Caenorhabditis elegans: one gene and its partners. The protein of the gene in region 1 interacts with the protein of each later gene in a pairwise test. Each region holds a gene or a part of one and is shown in the gene's direction. Other genes may lie near its edges.

The links.
Region 2: the proteins of tbx-38 (region 1) and ceh-27 interact in a two-hybrid assay, tested with the Caenorhabditis elegans proteins (one large-scale study listed by BioGRID).
Region 3: the proteins of tbx-38 (region 1) and mls-2 interact in a two-hybrid assay, tested with the Caenorhabditis elegans proteins (one large-scale study listed by BioGRID).
Region 4: the proteins of tbx-38 (region 1) and C16B8.3 interact in a two-hybrid assay, tested with the Caenorhabditis elegans proteins (one large-scale study listed by BioGRID).

Annotation. Positions count from the first base shown.
Region 1 is NC_003281.10:11,782,855-11,788,288, reverse strand, and holds tbx-38 (T-box protein 38), read left to right. Parts: upstream 1-2,227; 5' UTR 2,228-2,236; coding exon 2,237-2,442; intron 2,443-2,464; exon of another isoform or gene 2,465-2,544; intron 2,545-2,603; coding exon 2,604-2,922; intron 2,923-3,688; coding exon 3,689-4,075; 3' UTR 4,076-4,207; downstream 4,208-5,434. Other genes in the region: C24H11.1 (Serine/threonine-protein phosphatase), read right to left, coding at 1-51, 309-440, 488-541; srd-74 (Serpentine Receptor, class D (delta)), read right to left, coding at 4,215-4,403, 4,454-4,525, 4,597-4,875, 5,238-5,434. UniProt on the Caenorhabditis elegans protein: Transcription factor. Required for mesodermal induction, acting redundantly with transcription factor tbx-37. Together with tbx-37, acts by inducing cell fates in the AB lineage, thereby playing a role in development of the anterior pharynx.
Region 2 is NC_003283.11:11,660,649-11,667,616, reverse strand, and holds ceh-27 (Homeobox domain-containing protein), read left to right. Parts: upstream 1-2,514; 5' UTR 2,515-2,550; exon of another isoform or gene 2,551-2,683; intron 2,684-2,918; 5' UTR 2,919-2,919; coding exon 2,920-3,077; intron 3,078-3,381; coding exon 3,382-3,449; intron 3,450-4,885; coding exon 4,886-5,082; intron 5,083-5,152; coding exon 5,153-5,410; intron 5,411-5,730; coding exon 5,731-5,841; 3' UTR 5,842-6,068; downstream 6,069-6,968. Other genes in the region: F46F3.3 (Attacin_C domain-containing protein), read right to left, coding at 51-102.
Region 3 is NC_003284.9:4,758,032-4,763,911, reverse strand, and holds mls-2 (Homeobox protein mls-2), read left to right. Parts: upstream 1-2,271; 5' UTR 2,272-2,299; coding exon 2,300-2,487; intron 2,488-2,543; coding exon 2,544-2,779; intron 2,780-3,017; exon of another isoform or gene 3,018-3,216; intron 3,217-4,092; coding exon 4,093-4,215; intron 4,216-4,268; coding exon 4,269-4,357; intron 4,358-4,403; coding exon 4,404-4,630; intron 4,631-4,676; coding exon 4,677-4,839; 3' UTR 4,840-5,108; downstream 5,109-5,880. UniProt on the Caenorhabditis elegans protein: Transcription factor that binds to the promoter of target genes. Regulates fate specification and/or differentiation of multiple cell types arising from the embryonic mesodermal (M) lineage and the ABp(l/r)paa precursors.
Region 4 is NC_003284.9:3,967,358-3,971,280, reverse strand, and holds C16B8.3 (Annexin A7), read left to right. Parts: upstream 1-2,646; coding exon 2,647-3,141; downstream 3,142-3,923. Other genes in the region: C16B8.4 (Fibronectin type-III domain-containing protein), read left to right, coding at 56-304, 419-615.

The DNA of each region.
Region 1 (5,434 bases):
AGATGTGTAGTACTTGAAGACACGTGTCAACAGCACATGGATCTCTTTTTCCTGAAAAAAAGACATTAGGAACGTAGGTAGGCATGGAGGCAAATAGACAGGCAGGGGCGTGGGTAGGTAGGCAGGCAACCGCTTAGAAACGCAGGGATGGTGCAGGTAGAGAATAGGTAGGAATGCAGTGGTTAAACATTTAGGCAGGTATGAGGCAGGCAGGTAAATATGCAGGGATGATTCAGATAGGCAATGGGAAGGCATGTAGGCAGGCACAGGTGAAGCAGGCAGGCCGGTATAGAGTCTCCTTTACTTACATCAAACATAATGGCTTTCGAGAATACAGGCTTCAGAAGTTTCTTGATCATATCGGTCAACTTGAATCCCTTCTCATCGGCCTCCGTGATATGCCAATTGTTGGCTTCCGAACCCGGTTCAACGGAAGTTTTCTGAAAAGGTAGAGGCATTTTAAAGAATCATCTGAATTTCCACTTACCTTTGGAGCATCTGTTGCAGCAGGATTTGAAGAATTCGAAGAATTTGAACTCATTTCGTTTTCAATTCAAATTGATCCCTTTGAAGTGTGAATTATCAATTAATGAATTTATTTTCTTTCTATTGATTTATTGATTTTGATGATTTATTGATTGACCATTGCGATAACAATTGTTTTTATTTTTGACGCGAACATTTTTAAATTGTTTTAAACTTGCGTAACTAAATTGTTATTAAAGTTGTAAACTATCCAAAAATTGTAAATTTTATGTTCTACATTTTGATAGTTGACAACTTTTTTATAGCGTTTTTTTTTTTTTTTTGTTTTTGACGCGAAAAATTTCTTTTTTTTTTTGTAAATTTTTTTCAATAATTTTTTATTATAATTTTCGTGATTAAATTGTTATCAAAGCTATCAAAAAGTTTGTAAATCGTTTTCCAACTATTCCTAAATTCCTAATCGATATTGTTTTTTTCTTTAATTTTCCAGATGTCCTCCAAGTTTCCCACAATATCGTGTGTCTTTCGTTTTCCAAACCACGTGGCGTACCATACATGGCAGAGAGTTGTGTTACGGCTCAAAGACATGTGCCGCTTATACTTTGCTATAAAGTATTTTGCCAAGTGTTTCGAACCGTTTTTGAACCGTTATTATTACTTGAAAAATCTCATATTTGCAGTAAAAATTACTGGAAGAAATGTACATTTAATAGTAACGTTTAAGTATGAAGCTATTGAAAAATGTATGAAAAACAAAATATAAAATTATTTTTATAATCAATTTCTTGTGTTTCTAACCAATTTCAAAATGCACCAGCCCTCCCGCTGAGCCCGACACATCTTCTCCTTCCGAGCCAATTCAAAACTGCGCACCGCTATCACTAGAGTGTGAGGTGTCAAGGTGTGGGTGGAGGTATACTTTTGAAGTGTGAACTACACATTCTAGATTGCTGAAGACCATAGAGATGCTCAGTTGGAGGAAGAGGTGTTCAAGAATCAGACACCAACATTGGCTCGCAGTTTAATGAGTGTTCCGATTTTACAGTTATTTTGGATATACTTCGCGTGTGATCCTTCTAGGTCATTATTATATTGGTGTGAATTCAAAAAGCCTAAGCCTATGCTTTAGCCTAAACCTGAGCCTGAGCTGAGGTCTAAGCTTAAGCCTGAGCCTAAGCCTAAGCCTTAGCTTGAGCCTAAGCCTAATAAGGGATGGGCGGCGAACAGGCTTTCTTGGTGAACGGCGAATTCGGCGACTTTGCCTATGCAGTTTTTCCAGTTTTCCAGGTTTTCTCTGAAGGTTTTTTCTTGTTCAAAGGTGTAAGCCTAAGCCTAATTGTAAGCCTAAGCCCAAGCAGAAGCCTGACTGAGCCTAAACCTAAGCCTAGGCATAACTCTAAGCCTAAGCCTGAGCATAAGCCTATGTCTATGTCTAAGCCTAAACCTAAACCTAAAGACTAAGCCTAAGACTAAACCTAAAGACTAAGCCTAAGCCTGCACCCAAGGCCGCCGTGCGCTACATCTCCCATGGCCACACGCTCATATGTGCCAAGTTGTGCTCCACTTGCCACGTGTCCACCCCTACGTGTGGCCCAGCCCCTTCCGGCTCCGCCCACTTACCGGCTCAGTTTTACAGAATTAGTGAGAGTGGTTAGCACTTTTATTACAATTAGATTTTTGTTGCTCTACTTCCGGTCTCACTTTTTTGTGCTTCTGTTACTCCTATAACTCCCCCTGTTACAGCATTACCATGTACTCGTGCACCTCCCCATCCGGAATTAAAGTCTCCTTGAGCACACCAGAAATTTGGGAAGAGTTCTACCCGAAAACCGAAATGATTGTGACGAGAAACCGTGGAAGGGTGATTTTTCCGCATTTGGACTATATCATCAAGGGATTGGATCCAGGCAGTCTCTACTCGATTTATATTCATTTGGAACGTGTTGACGGGATTAAGTGAGTTGGGTTAAAAGATAGAAAAAAATTTTCAACTGGTAAATTGTAGAAAATTAAATTTGCTACAATTTCTAAATTGACAACTTTTTGATAGCTGGTATACTTTCAGAGTTATAACCTATAGGACGATTCCAATTTCAAAAACTTGAACTCATTTCCAGATACAAATTCGACGCAGGAGAATGGAAAGAATTCGCCAAAGGAGATCCGATTCTTCCAATCCAATACAAGGAGCATCCGCGTGGCAAGCGTACTGGAGCAGAATGGATGAGTGAGCCCGTCTCGTTTGCTCACATCAAAATCACGAATAACCCGGAAATCAAGGATCAGAAGGTCATTTTAGTGCAGAGTATGCATAAGCACATTCCAGTGGTCACTGTTAAACAGGTCCGACATTATAAGACAGGGTATCAAGAGGATTTTAGTGGGGAGCAGTTCCGGTTGGAGGCTACTGAATTTATGGTGGTCACTGCTTATCAGGTTAGTTATTTGAAAGGGTGTGGGAAATTAAATTTGCAACAATTTGTTGAAAAAAGTTGAAAACATTTTAATCGCGTCACTATCAACGGAGATGAAGTAGTTTAAAGTTGGAGAGCATATTTTCAAGTTTCCAAAACTGTAAATTTCGAAGCGCTATTCCAACTTTTCAAATCAAAAATAAATGTAGACATATAGAAAGCATCTAATTCAAAATTAAAAAAATACTGAAAAACTTGCCGAAAGTTGCCATTTGCTGAAGCTTAAGCTTAGGCTTAGGATTAGGCTCAGGCTTAGGCTTAGACTTAGGCTTAGGCTTACGCCATTATACAGGAAAAAACCTTCAGAAAAAACCTGGAAAACTTAAAAAACTGCATAGACAAATTTGCCGAATTCGTCGTTCGCCAAGAAAGCATGTTCGCTGCCCATCACTGATTAGCCCTAGGCTTGGGCTTGGGCTTGGGCTTAGGCTTAGGCTTAGGCTTAGGCTTAGGCTTAGGCTTAGGCTTAGGCTTAGTCTTAGGCTTAAGCTTAGGCCGCAAATCGACTTTTTCAAAATATTTGTCGAGCACGTCAAATTCGGTAAATTTATTCGGCATGGCAATTTCGGAAAAAGCATTAAGTTTTCATTAAGTGCCGGATTGAAACTACGCTATTAAAATTTTGTCAACTAAAAAATAAAAAAATGTAGCAAATTCAATTACCCACAACTAGAAATTTTTCACCAACTACATACATATATTCTCTACAAAATTGTACCCTTTTCCAGAACGAAATCCTCAAAAACCTCAAGGTTCATCACAATAAATTTGCATCCGGATTTCGTTCGAATGGCAAGAGACGGCTTTCTTCAGACTCTGAAAATTCTGAAAACTCTCCGCCCAAACGCAGCAAATTGGTAACCCCACCGACAATCTCACCGCAAATAGATCTCCCACAGCAAACCCCGTATTATTTCAACCAGAATTTTGTGGCTCCGCAGAACTACCAGCCACAGTTTGCAAGTGCTCAGAATTACAATTTCGAAGTTCAAAATAATGCTCAATTAGCTTGGAATATGTATTATCAAAAACAATACGAGTTTTGGTGGCAACAGCAGCAAATGATGATGCCAGGACAACCACAAGAGCTCAAAAATGAATTCCAAAGTTTGTGAATTTTTTGTAATATTTTTATACCCCCTACCTATTGCCTTTCTCCCCCTTTGAATATTGTACTGCACTGATCTCCTGGATTACTATTTATGTGTCTCATAAATAACAATTGAAATAAACTTTATTAATATTTAAAAAAAATCAAATAGTCCTCGCGGAAGACTGCGCCACGGACAACGTCACCCCAATCGAGACACTTCTCTGCCGCCGCGTCACAAAACTCCTATATGGTGCAACGTAGTAGATCGTTAGAATCGGATCGATGAGGCACGGGATGACGCAGGTTGGAAACGGCACGAACTCGGCAATCTCGAACTCGATGTGGATTCGCTGGAAATTTTTCAATGGGCTAGGCGTGCCTGCCTGCCTGCCTATCTCACCTGCGCCACAAGGAAGTATGCAACATTGGGAAGAAGGCATACCATCGGGAACATTGCCTGCATTGTGAGTGCCTGGAAAAATTGGAAAGTTGCCTGCTTGTTTGCCTACCTACTAGGCAGGCAAGCCTACTCCTACCACTCACCCTCACCAAATCCAACGACGATTTCTTGGTTCGTTCACTCAAATGTGTCTGAACTTCGTTGATTTGATTGAAGATCTGATGTCTCCAGTACAGAATGAAAACGGGCATCATGTAGGGAATTCCCATGAGAATTGTGGTATTGATAAGATAAACCAGCCGAGTTGTCGACTTGAAGCCTCCATATTCGCCGAAAGTATCTAATAGGTGATAGTTGGGATACGATCTTTCCGTGTTCAGGGTTACTGTAGGGAAGTCGTATGGAGGAATTAAAATTGCTACCTGAAAATTTTGGAATTTATTTAGAAAGTGGTCCTAGTATTAGGCTTAGACCTAGGCTCAGGCTCAGGCTCAGGCTGAGGCTCAGGCTTAGGGTTAGTCTTAGGTTTAGGTTTAGGCTTAGACCTAGGCTCAGGCTTAGGCTCGGGCTCAGGCTTAGGGTTAGGTTTTTTGGGCTTAAGCTTTGGCTTACGCGTAGGCTTAGGCCTAGTCTTGATGAAAACCCTGAGAAGAAAATCATGGAAATTTCCTACTTCCTAAGCGTTTCAGGAAATAGGACAAGAAAACCCAAAAATTTGAACCAAAAGAAACATTCAAGATTATTTTAGGCCACGCCCATATCTTGGCTAACACTCTTCACTTACCAGCATTCCAACAGAAATCACCAACGTTACTCCGAAATTTCGACTCAACGCTAAATTCTCGCACTTTCCGTGACAAATCAACGAGTACCGATAGTACATGGACAATAGTATTGAGAGATTTGTGGTGCAAAGAAATAAATTATAAAAATTATAACCTATGAAGGCAATCACAGGAGACGCATGCCGAAGAGGGCCAT
Region 2 (6,968 bases), on another chromosome or scaffold:
ATTTTCGCTTGGTGATCAGGGCAGCATTAAATAAAAACGTTTAAAGTTACCAATGACGCTTGAAATTGCCAAAATTGAGAACGCAGAAATAATAATACGCATGCTTAATTCGTGAAATGTGATAATGATTCTTGTGATATGATAGCCAAAAGGATAAGTCACTGGATGATGGCCTCATTTCATTCCAGTTTCTCTTATGTTTTATCATTGTTCGATATGAACCTTGAACTAAACTGAACTGTCAATGAAAACCGGATTATGAGATACTTCAACTGAACTAGTGAAACCAGGTATTCTCAAGAATTGAAAAGATGCTTCAACGATTTAAATGACAAAACACTTAGTTCCAGAAAGTGTGAAAATGTGCAAACCCCCGAAAAAGGAAACGACAAAAAACTCGCCGCAATCTCTGTTTACTCAATGTTTTCTCACTTCCGTGAAATGAATTGTATATTACATATTTTCTCACAATATCGGTATTCGAACCCGAAAAGAATACAGATGTCTTTCTTCCTTCCTGTTGCTCGGGACAGGTGCATGCCATCTTCTTTATTCTCTCAATAATGGAATTAGTGTTTTGTCGGGAAAAGGAGGTAGAAGGAAAGGGAAATGGCAGAAAAGTGACAACTGGAGAGAAAAGGATTTGTGAAATATGAACGGGCGACGAAAACCGTGGAAACGTTATGGAAAACTCAACACTTTTTTTTTGGTTTTCCTGATGTGGCACATAGTGTTCATAAATTCTCGAGTCTCTTGTTTTCAATCATCTTGAAGTGGATTTAGCAGGGTACTTTTTCTATTTAATTTATTTCAGTACACTAAGTTTTTTATATTCTGATGTCAGATTTCGCTTGATTCAAAATCATTTCTCAATTATATCATCTAGATTTTCCCACTTTGCGTTAAAGCCTTTTGCAACTCATTGTAATTACAAAGCAAAACAAAAGTGAAAATATATTAACACTCATTTTTATGAACATCAAGAAAATTTGTTTGTAGCCTGTAATTGAATTTGGAAAATAAAAACTTTGAATCAAAACGAATCTCTCTCACTAGTTTAAACTTGAACTATTTTAAGTTAATTTTAATAGAGAACTACATCTGATTAAACGAGAGTTTTTAATGGAAAGTTGGTTCGGTGAAAAATGAGAAAGTAACACTAATACTCTCACGCTCTATTGATTGTTGGCTCACTGTTATCAGTGTGATCAACTTCGTTGACTTAGCAAACTTTTTTTTTCTCATGGTAAAAAAAGAAGGTCGTTAAACTCATTAACATTTGGATTGTCCACTAATGATTGAGAGTTTTGAACTCTCTCCCAAGTGTAAAAGTTCAAACTGGATGTAGGAAGGCAAAGTGCAAGGTAGTAAAAAGAAAACAACTATTTACCGATTGAAAGAATCTTACTGAAAATATATTAATTTTACAACTAAACAGTTGATAAGGCAAAGTATCAAAGTACATTTTAAAAAAGCTGTTACGTGAACAAAGGTTTTTTCTCTTTTTATAAAAAAAACTAGGTATATCAAAACAGTAGAAACGGGAGGAAAATTTTCAAATTCCACACTTCGGAATGACTGAAGTCCAGTAAAAATATATATGCCCGTGTTAAGAAACTTTTTGCAAATCTCAATGTTTTAGGCGTTCATTTTTCCATTCCCTCAATAAACATTATTTGGAAACTTAAAATGTAAACTGCATCTTCAGTGTATTTACAGCAATATGACACAGTTCCTCGCCATTGAGAAATTATCAGTCTATTATAAAATTTTTTTATTGATTTTTTTCAGAATTAGGTTTCAATATGGCATACAACATTCAATACGACGTTAGTATATCTCAATATCTCCAAAAAAAATAATGAAGTAGAAAAAACTCATACAATTTTCAATGAGACATAGACATATACAACCTTAAATTTAAGATATTATCACAAACATACAATTAAATGACGACGCCGATGGTCTCACCTTATGGTGCAGTTTTATCTGAAAAGAAATTGAATTTTGCGAAGGATTGAGCTGTTTGTCCTTACGGTTTCTATTCAAGTTATTTCGCTGCCCCTTTGGTCTTTTTTTAGTCTGTTATTCTGTTGGCAACATAATTTACCAAAAAGAACAACACTCTCCAACACTAGTCAGAATTAGGATAACTGAATAATTTGCCAACTTAGGTACTTGTGGAGAAATCACATGACTTGAAGTTTTTTTCTTGCTAGCTGAGTTTATTTGGGAGTCTAGAACTCGAGATTTTCAAGTAAAGAAATTAGGCTTCTCCTACGCATTCTCAATTTCATTTATAATTTTCAGCTGGTAGCACTTGATTAAAATGGGCAATTAGGTTTCAAGTATTTCTTCTCTTTTTTTTCGGTTTCCATACCTCTTCCCCTCCGATACCTCGATTCTGTTTGCCCCAGTCTCCGCCCATGGCATCCAATGAGGTTGGTGGGCGTGTCTATCGGGTGGGACAAGCAGGGCGAGAGGCTGGACTGAAGGCGCACGGGAGACACGCACACGGTGAACGATCCTCCACAAGCACTCATATAAGAGGTAAATGAGCTCTAAGAGATTCTCTCGGTTTACTTGAAGGGCCACTTTGGCCGTCCTCTCCATGACTTTTCAAGTTTTTAACTTAAGTGAGTTTTGAGTAGTTTTCGGGACGGACGCCACTTCCATCCTCCCCTTCACACCCCATCCTTCACATTTAGCGCCCCAATCGAGGCACTGGAGCAGCAGTTTCAATTCTCTGTTTCCAAAAAATAATGATAGAATCTAGAAACCTATACCATATTACCTCAAACTCTAACTTGAAAAGTCATGGTGAGTCTTCTATTCATTCCTTTTATTTTCTTTGTATTCTAATATGACATTAACTTTAGAATCCCAGTTTCTCGCCTTTAACTACAATTAATTTGTAGAATGTCTTCTGGATCATCCAATTCCTCCACATCAGCCCCTAATTCTGTCACACCAACTACTGATGCTTTCTCAACTCTCTCCATCTCAGCACCGGCTACAACTGCAGCACAAATGTCTTATTTTGCCTTCCCTAATCAATATCCACATGATTTCTCAAGGTATGCTTTTAATTTGAGGTAAATTCTGGATGTATGATGATGGATTATATGTCCCCCAGATGTGGAATTATTCAACATCAATGGTTTCTAGCAAATATAATTTATTTCGATTTAGAATACAAAAAAGTTCAAAAAAATCCAATTAATTAGTTAATTCACGAATAATTTTAGCAAACCTGAATATTTCTTCAGCTACAACACAAGTGCGGCCTACGCCACCGCTCCTGAATACAAAAAAGTTCAAAAAAATCCAATTAATTAGTTAATTCACGAATAATTTTAGCAAACCTGAATATTTCTTCAGCTACAACACAAGTGCGGCCTACGCCACCGCTCCTTACCCAATGGCAACGCATCCTCAACTGGCCAATTGTGAGTTTTTTTCTTCAAATTCATCTTCTCGACTTTTCTCACTTTCCCGTTCGCAAATAATTACAGTCCGGTCAATTCAATTGAGTTGCGCGCTTCGCATTTTTCGCAACAATTATTTTATGTCTAGATTCTTTGGTTTATTATTTAGATTATTATATAACACATACATATATAAAACAAGCGTGCGCGATATAATTGACATATACCCGAGCTACAGTAGGTCTGGTCTATGAGTAAAAAAGGTTCCCACACTAGCTTTTTCCTTTCTCTTAGATCTTTTTTCGCTTCTTCCTGCAAAACATATAATCCCTTTCTGCCGGTGGTGCTAAATGTTTGTCTTTCCAACGAAACTCGTCCTACAGTACCTCCCCTTGGTTGCCACAACATTGGAAATGAACAAGTTTGCCAACTCAACTAACTACGTCTGTCCCTTATTTTCCTTTGTTGGACAACAAACAACTAACACCATATTGAGAGGTGATAGTAGGGGTTCAATGAAGTTGCGTCGGAAGTGACGTAACATCAGTAATCTACAACACCTACTTGAAACCGTGAGAGAATTGCTTCCAAAACTTAAAGGCATGAAGGTCGTGGTACTGTAGACGTGAACATGTGACAAAACTAGTTGGTGGAACTTTTAATTGTTGGAAGGTCAATGGCGGAAATCATAAAAAGGAAATCTGCAAAAAATGTGAACTCCGAATTGAAAAATTGCAGTAAGGGTCCAAATCAGATATCATATTTTCTGATAAGTATTTTAGAATGCCAAAAATTTATTTTCTATTATATCTCTACTTAAAATAATTTACATTGTCATTCTATTGAACAGCTTTGACATCTCATATCTGGGTGGTTTTTTGTTTTATCACAAAATTATCAACTTACAGTAAATGTCATTTTTCATATATAGTTTCGTACTTAGTTATTTTTTATAGCTTTAAAAACGAGATTTAAGTTGTCAAAGCGGAGCAATTAAGTACAATTCTGACAAAAAAAATACAGTAGTTGATACCGTATCAGTTTTTAGCTTTAAACCAAGTTCACTGCTGAAAACTTTTTCAAAACTTCCAATTTGATCTGAATTTTTATCTTTAAATGTACAGGACAACCTAGATTCAGTTGCTGGCAGCTTGTCTGCCAATTCTCAGCAATTTGTTTAGTACGCCACGGGGAGTCTCTCTCGAATACTCAATTGTCTGGTAAACGGACCATATTTGTAGAAGAGTTTGCTGTGGTGCCATTTTTGTATCGTAGTTAAGACAAGTGTTAGCATACATTGACACGTGCACGCATGTGTATTTTTCTTATTGTTTTTATAAGGGACTACGGAAATTGTCGATTTCCTGAGACTTCCGTTGAAGGGCAAATTATCGCGGATCTTATTGCCATGATCCTATTGTATTTAGTAGGCATAAAACAATCACTATTTATTGCAGTTAATCGCTTCCAAACCAATCAGCTGAATTTGGGACTTACGACACAGCAGAATATGATGATATCACGAAGAAAGCGACGTGTTCTCTTCTCACCTCAACAAGTTCACGTCCTGGAACGCAAATTCCAAATCAACAGATATTTGAGCGCCGCGGATCGGGAAAACCTTGCGAAGAGTATTAACTTGTCGGCAACACAGGTTTGAACTTTTAATTTAAGCTAATCATTTGCGATGTTTCTTGTTAGTTTCTCACATTTGCCGTATTCAGGTGAAAATCTGGTTCCAAAATCAACGCTACAAGTGCAAGAGACAAGAAAAAGAGAAGAAAATGGATGGTGGATGCTATCGGGATAGTGACAGGGACACTGATTCAGACAGAGACAATGATAGTAGTGGATCACTTGGAAGTTCGATGTCTGGAATCAAGAAGGAAGAAGATGAAGATCGGAAACCATTCATGCCATCAGCAGTTTCATCTGATACAGCTTGTCTTCCGGATATCTCACAACAAGCATTCCCATATCAGGTTCGTATTTTAGATTTGTTGAGACTTTCAAATCACAAAATCGTGTTACAAATAAGATTTTGTGACGGTAATCCAATAGGATTAACATAGGGAATCGGATCACACACTTGTGACTATCTCTCTATTCTAATTCAATTTGTTCCGTTATGATGTGGTCTCATCACCTGGAAACAGATGCAGATGCACAAATGATTTTTGAAGGACCCACTTCTGACTGCAGCTGTCATTTTCCACTTTTGAATCACAGGCTTATGAACTGTGCAGTTGTTTTTTATATGGCTATCGTTAGATGACAATGTTCAACTATGTTTTTTTTCCAGATGTACCCTTCGAGTTCATATATGCCTCCGTTCTTCGCATACCAAGCACCTCCTGCAAACTATCCTCCGTCTACATACAATTTATCGACATCAGCATTTCATAACCTTTAGCTGACATTCAACTATGCTCAATTTTTTTTTTAATTTTCTCAATTTCAATCTAAAAATCTCGTGACTCTTCTGTTCTCTTTCCTTCCCCAATCCTCAATGAGCTTCTCATTTTTTTATTCCAAAAATTGAAAAATCCCAACACTAAACTGGTATGTATTTATATGCGTTGTTGCTATATTTTTGATATTATATAATCTTGCACAATAAAAATAATTTTAAATTTAAAACTTTGTTTCATTGATTTCAGAAATAGATGTCGCTTTTACCGTAATCATAATGACAGACGACGTGCCATTCTCTTCCTATTCATTGGGATGAATGGTGATGAACATGAAGAGGCGCACGCATGTTGTATAGAAAAGAAAATGCGTAGTATATTGTTTTGTAGAAAACTGAATGGAGGTACTTGAACAAGACGTCGACATCCAAAAAAAGGAAGAAGGAAAAGAAGGAAATGAAGATGTCAGACAGCAATAGTGACGCGATGAATCATCCACCAAAAATTAGGAAGATTTTCAGAAAACATGTTTTCAGATGTTTTTAGGTGGTGTTCACATTGTTGCACAAGCTGTGTACTTCTCGTGATAACTGCTTGAGATCATATAGAAACGATTTTTAGTAAATTACTTTTGAAGCAAAATTAGCATTACAGTTGAAATAATTTAATTTGCAATTGGAAAAATAATCGATAACATTCTATTTCATAATTTATTCCATGTTTTTCCAATTTTTCCAATTTGCAGTTCTTAAAAGGCAAACTTTTTTTAAAACTGACTTTTAAAATGTATACTTTTTTCCAATATTGTACATATTCCAAAATGAAATCGCTTTTTTATTTTTCTTGTAAAATTATACACCATCCAGCTTTAATCCTGTTTTTGTAGCAGAAATCCCATTTTTCAAGTTCATGTCTTCAACTGACACCTTTGGTATGCACAGCCGGATAATCTACAGCTTGATGACAGACAGACACGTGTTGCGTCACCACCTGCACACATACAAAGCTCCCAGAAGAAAGGTGTGAAAAGAAAGAGAGAGGAAGAACACCGTGACTTTTTATCCCTAGTTTGGCTCTATAATTAAACGATTTGCGAGTTATTACGTAAAAGGATATGCCGACGGGAAGA
Region 3 (5,880 bases), on another chromosome or scaffold:
TGTACATTAGAAGTATTTTTATTCGATAATTCACTAGCTAAGACTCCTTCACACTATTTGAAATTATTGCAGATTTTTGAATCGCATCATCGGTTCTTTCTCTTTGATTCACTTTTAAACTCATAAATTCCACGCTTCCTTTAGACTTGTGTGTTGCGAACCAAACCATTATTGATTTACGGCTGTCGGGAAGAGCACAACATTTTCCCATCAGAAGCAAGTTTGAATTTCCTCCTCCGGGTCATTCGCACCTTACAATTTAGCAGGTGTCTATTGCAAACCGGATGTAAAGAAATGTTTCCCAAAACGGTTGTTTTTGCGCAATCTGGCCCCAACATTACCAACAGGTCACTTATTCCATTATTCTGTATCGTATGACTATAGCGATAGGTACTAAAACAAGGCAGATTGCGCTAATGGACAAATTTGTTAGACAAACACTTCCGGTGTCGTTTTCCTTAGATGTGAGCAACAGACACCAACATTTCACACCTTCTACAGTGTTGCACATTGGCTTGAGAACGTTGTGAGTCGTCGTATTAAATCCATTTTGTGATGTTTTACATAACAAAACCTCTAAGAGAATAATGGGAAATAATGTGGAAAATATCAATTCCATTTTCTCATTCTCATCCTCATCTTTCATTTCATTTCTGCTCATTTTCAGCTCATTTCTATGAACGCCACTACTATCAGCCATTACGTGTGTGCATGTTTTTCCTCGACCATATTATTCTGTACAAATACGTCGTCGCCTTATTTTACTATTACCGGTTTTAATGAGATTGTGTTGAATTATTTTCTCCCCCCTCCCTATTTGAAACCAAACGAGCGCGCACACAAACACATGAGAGCGGGCGGGTAAGCGTCTTGGGTCCCAATTACCGTATATCATGGAAGTGGGTGGAGCTGTGGACGTTCATTCAATACGGCTGTGCTCACCTCAACTCGTTTTATTTTGCGTTTGATCAAAACTAAAACTTGATTTTTTTTTCAAATGTTCGTCATTGGACTCTCAAGGGTTAATCAGGAAAAAAAACACATTTCGTGATTACTTGTTTGCTTCGAACTTTTTTTCAAGCTTCATAAGACTTCATGTGATAGTTTCCGATTCACTTCCATCGACTCTTGATTCATCTCTTTTCCCTCAGTTTTGCATGGGTTCTCTAAGGTATCAGAAATCTCGTCTAAAATTTTCATTTGTAAATTAAACCCCCATTCTGAAAATTAACAGTAATACGAGTGTTCTTTTTTCAGCCAAAAATGATTTTTTTGGAAAGTATGGAAAAAAGTAGTTTAAAAGATGTCATCACAATATTGGCAGTACTCTTTTCAACTTCCTGTACATCAAAATATCAAACCATTTACCGTATTTTCCCTATTAGGATTTCAACCCAGTTTCCATCTTTACCAGCTTAACACGAACAAAGTACTTGTCAATTTTTTTTAGCGGTTTGTAGTTTCTTATCTTTGATACTGAACACAGATATAACGTTTCAAATAGTGTGGTACAGTACTATTCAAGGAGTTACGGTATTCGAACACATTTCAAGTGAACAATGATCCTGAGTGTTTTGCTCATCGAGCCTATATTAGATATCTCTCCTGTTTCCATCATTCCTCATTATTACCTTTTGCACTCCGAATTCGACACTAACCGCGGATAAGCTGCTGCTTGACCCGTGCGTTCGCATAGCAACAACGATCCACTAACATCTCGAATTTCATATTTAAATTAATAATGTTTTGCTTAAAGCATAACTGATTAGCTTTTTGGCATTCTCGTTGGAATATACATTGAACCTACATTACAAAATCAATTGATCATCAATTTTGAAACAATTGATAGAGTCGCTCAGCGGAAAAAAAACGGTTAATTGTTGTGATTAATGGTGTTAACCAAACATAGTAATCCACTTAAACGAATTAGACATTAAGTTGGACAGGGCGTATTGCCTAGAAACATCTCTGTTTTGCTTGATCACTTAACACATTAGCGGAAAAGCAAGCAGGGAGTTCTTCGAGATCCTCAGATTCTGCTAAACTTCTCTCAACTGTATTCATAGTCGTTTTCCTATTGGTCAACCATTGTTTATATAGTTTTGATATCCGTTTTCTTAACACTACCAAAGACAATAATTTGACTTGGTCATCATTTCATTATTACTCCTCTCCTTCCCATTTCCTACACCCCATTTATCCGCGAACGCTCGCCCAGCTACCGTAGTCTTGAATGGTGGGGCGGGGCTACTCATTAGTATTCTCGATTAGCCCTCAGTTGACTCTATTTTTCTCAAACATGCCGACTTCAGTTATGAATCTCCCTATTGATATGACGACAATGAGCTCGCAAGAACGTCTCGAAAAAATGTCACAACTTCCAAAGATTGAACTGATGGAGGAAGAAGAGGAAGAAGAGATGAAGCCAAGTTCAGATAATAAGATTAAATTCAATATTTCTGAGTTGCTGGAAGATGACAGAAAACCGTAAGTTGAACATTTTCATTTATTTTCCTTTTATTTGTATAAAATTAAACTTTCAGAACTACACAAAGTTCCCCGTCGGCATCTTCAGAGGATAGCACCAATGAAATTGAGCAAACGGCGTTTAATTTCAATTTTGATCCAAAAATGAATCCGATTTCTGCCCTCCTGCAACTTCAGCAAACTTTCTTGAACGTCGGCAATCAACAAAACATGATCTCACCACTTACCATGTTCCCATTCTTTGGACTTCCGACTGCTCAACTAATGCACTTCAAAAACATGAGCAACCCAGGTCAGTAGATATTACCCAACTTCCTCTCTCCTTAGTCTGTCATTAGTTAATGTGTGAAAGAATCCTACCATATTTCATTTCATTCAAAACAGTGTTCCGTTTACCACTATAATTTTCGGTCGGTTCTCTTTATTCTCCGAATCTCAGAACACCCCTTAATACAGTAACTAATTCATTTTCTGACCCATTGTTATTGTATGGTCTCGAATTAGCCAAGTCTGGACTCATTAACAAGTTGAACAACGGTATTGGATGAACATATGGAAAAAGGAGGGGGGAGGTTGTCGGCGGATGCAGTTCCTTTCTTAGGATAAGAATCAGAATCGCTCGCCTGTGTTGAACTCAACTAATTATCTTTTGTTGGGTAACACCACACGCGGTATTCATTGATTCTTGAAAGGATGTGCTCAAACAGCAATAAGTTAATAACGTGAGAATACTAAACCCCATGAGCTCGGTGACGCGTGTCAGGTCCTTGACTTTTATTTTGATTCTAAAAATAAATACATTCAATTAAAAATTATAGAGAAACAACTTTTTTTTTCAGATTCAAAGTTTTTAATAATGAAATGTGGCCTGTAGGGAATTACCAAATGTCATACTAAAACATTTCAAAAATGTTTTAAATAAAATTTATTTTTAGTCAAAGAACATTGAAAACTCATAGTCCGCTTTTACCTAATTTTTGGCTCAAAATTTTTTTAAAAACAGTTTTATTTTGATATTAAGCCATTTTAACATTACAAAAATGCTGATTAATTATTTCCCCTCACAGGTCCAACTTTAAGCCATTAAGTTTTCCGCTCAGTTGATTTGGCAAAGCAAATCAGCGTATTGTAAAATAACATCATCACGCTGTTTTATTACGCTGACTCTGTTGATACATGTGGTTTTGCCACTGATTTGTTTTTGATAACATGTGAAATGATCAAAACAGCAATAGAAATCTCTTATTCTAATGAGCCTTTTCCATTTCGCATGAAAAATCAGGCATACGCATGAGCGCACATTTTTAGTCGTCAATATTCGTAACGTAAGCGGCTACACTTCGGTTTTTAAGAGATTCTAATTAGTCAACGAAGAATCAGTATTGAAAACTAAAGGTAGTTCTTAATATAGAGACATCTATTTATAAAGGTGTCATTTTGACCGACACCCGTGTCCTAGTAATCCCCCGTCCATTGAGATAATTAACCGATGGACCACGGGGGGATGTGTTATAATTGTGGCCTGTCAATGGAAGTATCTTAATGCAATATGGTTAATATGCCTGTCAGGAATTAAGTAATTGTTGAAAATGTGTTTCCTTACAGATGTTAATATTCAATCAGACAATGGAGAAGAGAAGGATGAAAAATCGGAGGGAAAAGATGGGGAGACCAGGGATTCCACTGGTGGCAGCCCGCTGGAGTCTGACGCAGAAGATGACGATGATAGTGAGTTGAATTTAAAAATGTGTCCACAAAAGTGTCCATAAACTGTATTTCAGTTGGCCGTGGAAGCGATGATGAAGCCAACTCTAGCGATCCATCACAAAATAGAAAGAAGAAAACCAGAACCGTCTTCAGCAGGAGTCAGGTATCAGAAATTGTACATTCCGAACTCAAATAATACTTTCATTCAGGTGTCCCAATTGGAAATGATGTTCGAATGCAAAAGATATTTGAGCAGTCAAGAGAGATCAAATTTAGCACAGAAGCTGCACTTGACGGAGACCCAAGTGAAAATTTGGTTCCAAAATCGACGAAACAAGTTCAAGAGACAAGCTCAGACTGATGACACGAACATTTCCCTGCAGATGCATAGAGCTAATGTGTTTTCGATTCCAGCAACCACAGCTCTTACATCTCCGTGAGTTTACTGTTTCATGAAATTAATTCTAAATTTTATATTTCAGAATCCTTACGATCCCAACGACCAGTGCTGGTGTGAACATGAGAAATATGATTTCATCTCCAATGGATGCTTCTGCAACTGCCGCCGCGCGGTTTCTTTTCGGTTTTGGTACACTTCAGGCACAGCAAAACTTGAATGCGTCGGCTCAAGCGCAGAACATGTGAACACCTTATTACTAATTTAGACTCACCCCCTGTGCAATTCAACTCAACCTCAACACATTTTTCATCTCATCACTGACTCTATCTCTTCACACTTGATTTTTGATTCATCGCCCTTCGTATATATTTTATTTTTCATACCCTATATGTTTATTATGTGTCATTCTGTGTATTTTATAAACTATCTTCGAGCACATGATAATTCAGTTCATCAATCCTTTCTCTTTCACTAAATAATTATTTATTGAGTAATAAATTTACATTATGAATACATACAATACAAAAATGATAGAAACTTTTTGATGTGTAAAAGACCATTTTCCAACAGATTATGATGGTAGCAAAGCTACTCTTTTCACATACATACATATACTAATATTTAAGATGAAATTTCAAAACAAATGTTCAAATTCCATCAACTGCAGAAATATCAGAAAACTTTTATTCTGCTTGAAGAACGAAAACTTACAAAATTTCCAAAAATTTGAATTGTATTACTTGGATATAAAATAATAGTTTGTCTCCTTTGTATGTAGTATCTGTTTTTTTAAAGAGTTTTTGTTGTGTTTTGAAAGGTTAATGGTTAAAATTAGTAGAATGAATTAGGGTAGTGTAGTGTAGGTGTTCAGTAGGCAACTTTGAAAAAAGTAAGTTGTTATGCTTTGAAATAATATTGGAGAGTCAAAAGTATTAGAAATCTCTGTCTTAAACAGTACAAAAACGCTCGAGAAATTTTTGAAGAACTGTTTTGAAGAACTCCAAAAAAAATTTCTAGAAATTTCAAAAATTACGAAAAAAATTCCTTCGACACTTGCTGATTTCTGAAATTTTGTTGCAACGCTTTTTATTCGGATTGATAATTTTAAAGCGCATCTTGTAAGTTGGAATTCTAAGTTCTTTAGTCGTAGTCATTGTACTTCACAATACACACATACATGTTCAGTACTTTTATCTACAGCTGCTTTTTTACAGATCGTTTCATCCTCTATCTCATCTTTGATAGGGCCGACCAACTTTCCGCTTTCAAAAAAGTACTTTTTATCA
Region 4 (3,923 bases), on another chromosome or scaffold:
GAATTGTGTGTTGTGTTGTGCAATTCTTAATTTAAATGAAAAACTAAATTTTCAGCCCCCGAATCTGTCTCCAATATCCGAGTGGCAATCCAACCCAACTCTACCGCAATGATAACCTGGACCGCATCGGCTGAACCAGAAAACATTCTAACCTATGCAATAACCTACCAAGCATACCTTGGCCCTTGCAATAAGGACCCAACGACAGTATACCTACCTGCCCCGTCCACAAGTTATGAGATGCCTCTCCCACGCAACGTTCATTGCGAGTTTATGTTCCGCATCACCAACTATGACGCAATTGGTACGTTCTAGGCTAACTTTTATTTATTGACTTGTATATTGTAAATCCCTTTTTTTCGTTACGCAATATGCAATAACGTTCATCGTTTGTCCTACTCAAACTATTGCATTTCAGGCCGAGAAGCGTTTGCTGAGACGAGGATTGCTGTAATGCAAGAAAAGTTGATAAATTCTTCACTGAAAATCATCGCCGTCGGAGTTTCGTTCACTTTTCTCATCTTTGCTGTACTTTGTTTTGCTGTCTGCAGATGCTGCAACAAATGTCCTGTGAAAGTTTCTGAGAACAAGGCTAAACTCACAGATTACGCCTGATTTTTAGTTCCAGGTTTTAGTAGAGCTTAGCAGTCACATTCTCATTATTTATGGGTATTTCGTTGAACCAAAGTTAAACTTTGTTACATGTTATCTCGGGTTTAATTCATTATGCTATTTTAATATTTAAGTGTTCATTTTTTATACCTTGTGTTGCTTTTCCGGTTTTGTAAATAGAGAATTGTTTTCTATAAAGTTTGTCATGAGAGATTCAAAAATGATTATTAAAATTGTATTGATTTTTTATTCAGATTCGCAAATATCAACTAAATTTTTATAATTCCAAACAATCATAAAAACACTTAACAAAATACATCAAAAAATTAAGCGGGCCGAACCGGGGATCGATCCCGGGACCTCTCGCACCCTAAGCGAGAATCATACCACTAGACCATCCGGCCACGTTTCGAGCTGATATGTATTGTAGTTTTCCTGAAATAACCATATGCATAATACATCAAAAGCATATAACCATTCGCTACAAGGAAAAAAGTAAGTGGGCCGGACCGGGGATCGATCCCGGGACCTCTCGCACCCTAAGCGAGAATCATACCACTAGACCATCCGGCCACGTCTCGTCGTGAACGCCTCTTCCTACACATGCACGCTCTCGTGAATAGCGCTCTGCGTGTGGTCGACTAGTCACAAACCAATAAACAAGTCTATCTGCGTCTCTACTAAACAAGAAAACTCTGAACGCAGTAAGCATTGACCTTGAAAATGCAGAGTATGACTTTTTCGAAAGTTTTGGTTAGGAATAGGATTTCTAACAATCAAAATTGCTAATCGTGAGAAATTGTTTTAATATAATTCAAATTACTTTTCATAATTATTATAATTTTCACAAATTGTTAAACTCGTAGAAGATGATGTAAATATGAATGTATTCCGCGATCAAATACATTAATAATACATAAAAAAATATTCAAAGCCTTTTCTTACAATTCCCCATAATTTTACTGAATGTGTCTCACGATTCGATCAAAATACAAGTTTTCAAAGTTACATGCTGAAAATGCTTAAAAGAGTAAAAGGAATGGGCCGAACCGGGGATTGAACCCGGGACCTCTCGCACCCAAAGCGAGAATCATACCACTAGACCATTCGGCCACATGTTTCCAATGTCAAAATCATGTGAAGACACTAGGTGGTCAGAGAACTGATCCGCAAACATGTTCGGAATAGAACAGGTGCGAAATGCATAGGCGCAGAAAATCTTAGCTAGGAAGTGTATTGATCGGCCTTTCTGGTTTGCAAAACGGACTGAAATAGTTATTAAAATTACACGGATTCAAGAACTAATACACAATAAAATTCATTGAAGTTGAAAAACAAAATTAAATCGTAATTGAGTTTCAAAAGTCTGTTAAAATTGTAAAAGAAACTTACAGACCCAATAGGGTTGAAAGTTGTCCGGATGGCTCAGTCTGGATGGTTGTCGCGGTCAAACTTAAGGTCAGCATTTCTTACCTCCAGACTACAGCCAGTCTTTCCTGAAAAGTCGAGCGAAGCTTGGATTTAACTTACAACAAGACCGACGGAGAGCAGACTGGCTTAATTCAAGAAAAAGTTTTGAATTTTAAAATATTGCCCTGATCTTTTCCATTCTTCCTGATAATTTTTTTGACGTTTGTATTTGATTGGCATTCCAGTTTGACATTTCGATATTATTCCTATTATAAATTCAAATGAATGTAATCTTCCTTCCCATTGAATCATCCAGAAGGTCATGTCCATGATCTATCCTCATGACTCATGGATTGCAAAGAAAGTTTCAAAATATACACTGAAAACGCCCTCGTTTCTTTTTTGTTCATTCGTTTCCATATACGTCATTGTTTGCTCTTCTCTATGGAAAAACGAGAAACTTCTTCTGACAATGCAAACTGATAACCGTATCACATTGTGAAACCTTCTCGTTTTTGAGGCAATAGGCGGATCGCAAACTAACAACTCACAATCGATCGTTTTTCAACCTTTCTGTTTGATTTTTTTCCCTTTTAAACCCCTCAACTTACACTTTTTCTTCAGATGTACGGCCGTCGCACGTGCAGTTCTTCCTCCTCAAGTTCTTCCTCTAGTGACGGTTCTTATCGTTCCCCAGTTGGCTTCGGTGTTACTCCAATTATGCCTCTTCCATATGGAGCCCCTCCACCACCAGTTGGCGCCGGAGTTGGATATGCTCCACCGCCACCAAGACCTTACGGAGCCACATATGCACCCCCACCACCTATGGGAATCGGTGCTGGAGTGAATCCTAGTGGATATGTCCAACAAGCCCCACCACTCCCAACCCAAGGATACTCGGCGTACAACCAACAACCACCTCCACTTCCACAGCAACCCTATCAAACTAACATGTATCCAAGCAACCCAGGATACTCAAGCACACCAGGCTATCCACAACAGCAGCCATATCAAATTGGAACCGGAGCCACGCCAGCCGGTATGTACCCACCACCACCAACAGGGCAATATCCTCCACCTCCACCCGGACAGTATCCAGGATATCCAAGACCATATTGAGTTAATATGTAAGCTTTTGTATACCTTTTGTACTACTAATCAATTTAATATACCATGTTTTTTCTTGCTGTTTGAATTGCCAAATAAATGTTAAAACTGTTCAATGTTCTTTTCAAAAATTTTAAGAAATACTCCAACAACTATTGGTTGGTTTGAGTGTCAGTGGCACGTGGAAATGTTTGAAAATTACCTTTAGAATAATTTTACTTGATTTGTCTATTTATGCATTCAACATTTATTGTTAACTTTCATAAATCCTATTGTTCCAATAGATGCAATATTGGACACATAATCAACTTGTCTAAATTAGTTCTGATTGTGGTTTGATATAACAGTTCGATACTATAGGTCTAGGAAATATTCGATTCGATGTCACAATATTAAACATAAATCTTCAAGTGATTTCTGTGAAAATCAAATGAATTCTATGATCTCCAGTAAGTCGGACGCTAATTCAACGAGTATTATTTGATTATTACTGGAACCCATCAAAGCAACTCTGGAACCCATTAAGAGTAAAACAAAAAATATAGCAAAGAGTCATAAGCATGTCTGCATTAATTGTCATCGGTCAGAAAGTGACTAACCGGTATTAATTTTTAATTACTTCGTAACCACATTTTAATTGAAAAACTTGTTGCAACTAAACTTGTTAACAGAGTTTTATCAGTTTCAGAATTAGTTATACAAACGTTAGAAGTATGGAAATTAGTAAATTTTCAGGTAGCACAAAAAACTGTTCACTGCTAATGTTCTTTGGAAGGCACATATAATGTTTCAAG